Saccharomyces cerevisiae S288C: one gene and its partner. The protein of the gene in region 2 interacts with the protein of the main gene of each other region in a pairwise test. Each region holds a gene or a part of one and is shown on either strand. Other genes may lie near its edges.

Evidence for each region.
Region 1: the proteins of FSH3 (region 2) and PEX9 interact in a two-hybrid assay, tested with the Saccharomyces cerevisiae proteins (one study listed by BioGRID).

What each region holds. Positions count from the first base shown.
Region 1 is NC_001145.3:308,136-312,323, forward strand, and holds PEX9 (Pex9p), read left to right. Parts: upstream 1-2,072; coding exon 2,073-3,617; downstream 3,618-4,188. Other genes in the region: SPO20 (Spo20p), read left to right, coding at 1-547; STB4 (Stb4p), read left to right, coding at 4,021-4,188.
Region 2 is NC_001147.6:844,488-847,853, forward strand, and holds FSH3 (putative serine hydrolase), read right to left. Parts: upstream 1,306-3,366; coding exon 505-1,305; downstream 1-504. Other genes in the region: RFM1 (Rfm1p), read right to left, coding at 1-143; PLP2 (Plp2p), read right to left, coding at 1,782-2,642; YOR283W (phosphoglycerate mutase), read left to right, coding at 2,966-3,366. UniProt on the Saccharomyces cerevisiae protein: Serine hydrolase of unknown specificity.

The DNA of each region.
Region 1 (4,188 bases), on a different chromosome or scaffold from region 2:
ACTCACCAAGATCGAGAGCAATTGTGACATGCTTAAAATTCAATCTAACGTAGCCGACCGAAAGATTGACGAACTTGCCCATGAAAATAGAAGCCTGCTTGCATTAAAATCACCCAACCCCTTCAGGAAGAAAAGGGAGAGAGAAAAGCGAGACCAGATCTACAATTTGAAGTTAAAGCATCGTCACTTACAGCAAGAAACTATGAAAAGAGCCCAAGATTCTGACAAAAATTTAGCCATAAATCTAAGTTCTGAATATGGACGGTATGGCCAAGGGGTGGAAAGACAGCGTATTCTTAGAGATGCCCAGAAGTATCAGTTTGAAGCCGATGAAGAAGATAACCAAATGGAAATCGACTTGTACGGAAACCTAGAACAAATAAAAGCGGTGAGTGGTGACTTGAAAATTATGGCTCACGCTTTTGGCAGAGAGTTTGAAGCACAAAACACTAGAATGTTTGACATCGAGAACAATGTACAGCAGGCAGATAATGCTTTACAGGCCAAGCGATATAGATTGGAGAAAGTGATCGGGAAAAGATGGTGATCTGTTATACACACAAAATATCGTGTATAAATATATTGAATAAATAGTTTCTAAAAAGGCATACGCAGATATTCTTGCGAAAGAGAAAAAAAAAAGAGCGAGGGGGACATTAGTACTGAAGGTCTCAATTCTTCTTTGTATTTTCTTTCGGAGTTGTCAGACAAAGCTTTCTCTTTCCCATAAATAAAGTGCATTCAAACATCGGCAGGTTTGTTTTTCCCAGTTGTTACGTATTTGTTTCCCGTTCCATTCATGATCTTAAACTGGGTTAACTGAAAAATCAACATGATTTTGTGAAAAGTAAAAGAGGGTAAGAAAGATAGATACCGCTGTCGTGGGACTATATTTTTTACAGTACCAAGTCTACTTGCTTCTCATAAAGTTGATAAGTTATAATTCATATAATTTCATTTGTCAAAAAAGATTTTAGTTACAAAACGATATCAAAGTTCAATCTTGTTGGGAAAAAGGAAAACATTATGAAGGGTTTCCGGTAATCACTGCGTATGCCACACTATTCCTATAGAATTGTCTTGATTGGGTGCTTATGCTGCGGAAAAATTATATTCTGCGCTTGCCTTTTATATTAAGCGTCACAACGCCCTTACCAAGATCGAGCGGATTAAGACAAGAGTGTATCTCAAGCGTCCGTATATGTTTAAGTTGAAAAGGATATTTAGTAAGAATAATTCTACCCTACAAACGATATTAGTAAAAAAAAAAATCAATAATAGAGTTATTGTACAAACATGTTCTGAAAATTGGAAGCATCACATCGTATGCTACTAGAGAAAATTTTTACTATCCTTTTTTCCACAAGCCCAGCCCTAGCCCGATCATCCTATTAATTGTCAGACCACCGAATGCTATCCCGCCACGGTTGATATAACGAAACTCTTTACTGCTTTGGGTCAAATATGCCTCTTTTCCGCATTTTTTCGGAGTAGTTCATTGCCGCATACATACCGCAACTTGGACGAGGATGTCCTCCTTCTCTTACTTTTTTATTCGTTTCCAATTTGTTTCTCGTACCGTTCAAGTTTCAAGCCTACAAGAAATGTACACGACATGGATGCGTCAGCCTGATTCAGATATGACAAGATTGTTCCTGCGCATATGTGAATATGAGCGCACGCAATACATTGAGATCTTATTTGGGTTTGTAAGTGCAAACTTAATTTACTTTGCTTCCTGCCGGTTTTGATGTGCACCTGGGAACTTAAATAGCCGCCAAAAGAAAAGCAATCAGAGCGGCGCGGCGCAGACAAAACCCGAAGAGTTTCCTGGGAACGGTAGAGGCCTTGGTAGTACCTTACTAACGCCGGAGAGGATGATTGATACGCATTGAAATCGTACAGAAAACTTGGGGCAAAGCGCTCTTACCCCAATATTCTCACCCAAACAGTGGCAATAAATAAAGAAAAGGTCATCACTTTTTTTCGTACTCTTATCCGTTTTATTTTATTTTATTCTTTTTTTTTGAGTGGAGAATCATTAAGAATAAAGGGTACCTTTTGTAAGCACGATGAACGAAGTTACTTGTTCCATAACTGGTGACAACCCAATTCATAAGATCAACAATGGATTAGGCTTGAAATGGAATAATCTGGGTAAATTCTCTGATTTTCAGACTAACGATAGCGCCGCGCGAGATGCTAGAACAATAGATTACATCTTTACCAATTGTCAAACCGGCAGCAGTATTGGTAAGATAGATTTTCGGGCCGCACTACCGGCAGATAAATCTCAACATAGTGGTGTCAGCGAAAAAGAATTTTCAAGACTTGAGAACCAGTGGTCAAAGGAATTCTCTTGTTTCCCCAAGAATAAAAATGCTGATGTGACCAAGCCCAGTAGAAACAAACATGAGAAACGCTCCGCTAATTTGCACAATAGGTACTTTGCACAATATTATAGTACGGCATATCAGCAAAATCGTATATATCCTTGTCGAATATCTTACAATGAACACTCATCTGTTTCTAATGGCTGGGAATTTCAGTTCAAATCAATCGAAAATCAGTTACTAAATGAGCTAAAGATAGAAAACAATGTAGAAGAAAAAACTGTTGGTTATGAATATGTGGCAGAATACGAAGAAACAATTGATTTCATGCATATGCTGTCATCCGTACCACAAACATATCAATTCCTAAAATCAAACATCTACATAACGGAACGGGACCCATATAAAATAGGATGTGTACTAATGGACAACGGTTCCAATTTGAACGAAGTAGTAATGGCCTTTGAAGCAGCCATTTCACAAGATCCAAGCCATATAAATGCATGGTTGAAGTTAGGTATAGTTAATTTTGAAAATGAAAGCGAAAGCAATGGAGAGCTTGCTTTGCGAAATTGCTTAAATTTGGATCCAAATAATACAATTGCATTGGAAAACTTAGCAATTCACCATATAAATCAACAAAATGAATCAGAGTCATTGAAACTTTTTCACAAATGGATTCTTTCAAAATTTTCGAAGGTTTTCCAACCTTCTGCGGGGGAAAACAAAGATAGCATTAATAAAATTCCGAAAAAGGCCCATTTGGCGCATATTCTAGAATCCCTGTTGAATATGGGTATAGAAAAAAAAGATCAGTATGATATATATTCAGTATTATCAATCTTATATTATTCGGATCAGAAAATAAAGCAATCTCAGAAATGCTTAGAGTTTTTACTACTGGAAAAGCCCAATAATGGAACAATATGGAATAGATATGGTGCTATTTTGGCCAATACTAAGTCGTATCACTCTGCGATAAATGCGTACAATAAATGCAAACAACTAAGACCGAATTTTACAAGGGTTCGTTATAATTTAGCGATCGCCTACATGAATAAGGGTGACTATGTAAAAGCAAGCAAAATGCTAATCGAAGTTATACTGTTACGAAGTAAAGGATATGAACACAACAAAGCAAAAATGCAAAACAAATTTATGCAAAATTTAAAAAATGCTCTCATCGCTTCAAAAAATTTTGATTCACTTGATCTAATAAATGGTTCTCATAATACAGAATCGTTAATATCAACCTTAAAAGCTATTTATAACAAAATGGATTAGGTTTTAGTTAATTTTTTTGCTATATAGTGCATTCAAAATAAAAAAAATTAAAGCTGAAACAAACCAAATATGCTATTGGACGTTCGAAAAGCTAATTGCGTAAAGGAACACTAAACACAGCAAGCTTATGCTAGTTCTTCTCAAAAATATAAGTTCCTCTTGCAAGAATATGAAGGTAATTTCACTTTATCGCGCAAGTGCATATTTCTGAGTTTACTATGTGCTTCGTCTGAAACCTCTCATTATCTACTTAATATCGGCTATTCATCTCACGTATTCACGTAATATTTGATTTTTGTACTACTATTTCTCTCTGTCATACGTGCATGATACATTTCCTTGTTCAAATTAAAAGAGTCACCGTCAGCCTCTCAAAACAAAGAAAAAAGATACCCGGCTGAACATGAGTATCAATCATGAAATATATTATATACTTGTATTTGAGCATCGTTCAGTAGCAATCAAGCTCATCATCGTAGTGATTGTTCTCCTTCAGTTTTTTTTAGCACGAAGTCGGCAAATTGATAGGACATGGGCCCATACTAATAGAAAGGAACGGTTCAGAGAAATG
Region 2 (3,366 bases):
ATCAGGAAATAATCCTGATACGATTCAAACTCCAAGGGTTTAATGGATTTATTAAAGTCTTTTATTTCATTTATTAACCTCCTCTTATCATTGATTAAACTTTGCAAATCACTATTTTTTATGATTTCCGTATTTGTACTCATTCGCACTTTCTTATAACACCTTCCTGTTGTTCTAATTAAATTCTTTTAATTAAAATTAATAGTTATTTTATATGCAATGTCTTATGATCACTTCTAGCTGTCAGTGTTCCTAGGATAGTGTTCAACAGCGTTTAATATTAATATATTGAGATACTTCCGCCAGATAAAAGAAATCCTTACGTTAAATATATATCATTCGTGTGCCGCGAAAATTCTTTCTTTAGCAACAGATATAAATCAGGTATAGAAAATCAAACGTCAAAGAAGGCGGCAGAAAAGTCACACTATTCCTTTTTCTCGTCGATATTTTCAATAGTTTTATAAAAATTGTATGTAGCTCATATAAATATCAATTATCGAATTACAATTTACCCAAGGAATCGATCATATCTAACAAATCATCTTCCAATTGAGGTTTGTCAAATTGTTTCCGATCTACTTCAGGTTGGGCATTATGCTCTTGACCCTCTTTGCTAGTAATTCCTTGGATCCAATTGCAAACTTGGGATACGAATGGTTTCGAGTTTGGGACAAAATGGGCTCCAGGATGAACCAACAATGTCCTTTTGTTATCGGGCCATGACTCGTACAATGCCATGATTCTAGATTCTGCTACAACTTCATCTAACTCCCCCCTTACATGTAGAGAGGGCACCTGGATAATCCTATGATATTCTTTCTGGTAGGATTGATCTTCTAATTTGAATCCACTAAATGAAATAAAAAATTTTAAAGCGGGCTGTTGTTCATCAGTAAGATTTAATATTCTGTTAAAGTCAGTGACTAAGTAGCCCCCAAGACCTGCACCTTGGCTGAATCCAATGACACCATCAAATGGTCCATTTTCTAGCACGTAGTTACGTAAATAGTTAAACACCTTTTGATCTATTTGAAAGGAATTGAAAGATTCGGGATTTCTAAAGAACCACCCGTATACTTCATCACTAGTCGCTGAGGTGTTGAATTCCTTCGCAGCATCTCTACCCTTTTCTGACTCTGATTGGAATAACGCTTTTTTATCAATTGAATGTGGGGCGCAAGGATAGTATAAATCGTAACCTAACTTCTTCAAATTCTTTCGTAATCCTCCAGTCTTCGCAGAAAATATCTTATCGGATTGGACAAAACCATGTAGCATTAGAACTTTCTTCTTTTCACTCATAATAATAATTCTGGGGTTTGTGGTAGAATTCAGTTTGAAAATGCACCGAAGTAGAACAGATTACTTTCTGTATTACTGCATCCATAGTGTTCTTTATACGCACAACTAGAAAAAGTAAATTTCTATCCTCTGACAACAAAGCGAAAAAGTAGTAAAACTTGATACCAGACCATGCTCCATATGACGATTTAAAAGGTTTATTCTGTCAAGATGTGCCTGCTCGAACTTAATAAGGGGTTTTATTGTATCTGTATCCTAAGTATGCTTGACGGTAATTAAAGAGCTTTAATTGGTTGCCATGACAACGGCTCTTACTAAAATCCATGCTGCAGCGATGTTCAATCATACATACCGTAATCCTCGCGTAAACATTCAGAGAAGTACATGACAAAGTTTGCTGTTCTTTATATCTGTATATATTAAATAATGGGGATAGTGACACCACTTAGCCTGTAAATAAGGAATATTCGCACTATTTAGTCAAAAAATCCATCATCATCATCATTAATGTTGCCATCATCATTTCCACCTATGCCGACATTAAATTTTCCTCTAATACCTGACCTGATCGATTTTTTTTCACCGTAATGCAATTTTCTCTCTTCCCTGGATTCTTCATCGTCTCGGTTCATTATCAGTCTGTTGTCTCCTTCTGCAACAGCGCCAACTTTTACCATAAAATCTTCAAAGTCTTCCATCTTGGAATTATTACCACCCAGTTCTAGTAGCGTTATCATGTTTTTGATTACCTCACCCCGGTAATATACAATTAATGTCGGGCAATTGGATTCGGGATAGTTTTCAATTGCTCTATTGGCAGGTATTTCTACAAATTTTATTTCTCTGAATTTGCATGCAGCAGATTGGAAAAGATGAGACAGAATTCTGCTTTGTAGTTTACTTTGAAGCGAGAGATGAACGAATACGTAGACACCACCGTCATCCTCTTCACCATTGTCATTGGTTTGTGCACCTTCATATTTCTTTCCCTGACTGGCCAAAGTAACCTCTTTGTTGTATTCAGGTTTGTTAATGTGGAAAACTTCTCCAAATTTGGAACGTTCCTGTAATTTGCGGATTTCATTTAATCTTTTGATCTTGTAAGCTTCCAAGAAATCTTCATCTTCATCGTCTTCTAGTTCTTCCAAATCCGACAAGTCTTTATCTTCTAGTCTATTTTCATGCTGCTTGGCAATTGCTTCTTCTAATGCTTCTTCTAACTTTGCAGTGGGCGAAGGTGCACGTTCTGGTATTACACCCTTCGCTCTTAAAATATCGTTCCATTCACTGTCTTCAGATTCGTCCACCTGGACCTGAAACATTGGTTCATTCTGCATTATGTCTGCTGAATATGCCTTTCTTCTCAGTGATGTTTACTCGAAGGCGTTATCTTGTACTGCAGATTTCTTCAGGTCGATCATATAACCTTTTCTTTTTTTCCTCTAGCGGGATTTCCTCTTTTTTCAGTAATTTTTTTTCCAGCGATATTAATACAATGGGAAAATCAGGTCGTCACAATATTACTTAATTCTTTTTTGAATTGTAGAACATAAAGTATTGCTTTATTCATTCTGGTTCGAATTAGTCTCATACTGTAAGATCAAAGCGGCAACGAAGCTCGAAGCTATACAAGCACCCAAAAATATATTTATACCCAAGAATGACTAAGGAAGTACCATATTATTGCGATAATGACGATAACAACATCATCAGATTATTCATTATTAGGCATGGACAAACAGAACACAATGTAAAAAAAATTTTGCAAGGTCACAAAGATACCTCGATCAATCCTACGGGAGAAGAACAAGCCACTAAATTGGGGCATTACTTGCGTTCAAGAGGTATTCATTTTGATAAGGTTGTCAGTAGTGATTTAAAAAGGTGTAGGCAAACTACGGCTTTAGTTTTGAAACATTCAAAACAAGAAAATGTGCCTACTTCCTATACTTCGGGGTTAAGGGAGCGTTATATGGGTGTTATTGAAGGTATGCAGATTACTGAGGCTGAAAAGTATGCTGATAAACATGGTGAAGGCTCCTTTAGAAATTTTGGGGAAAA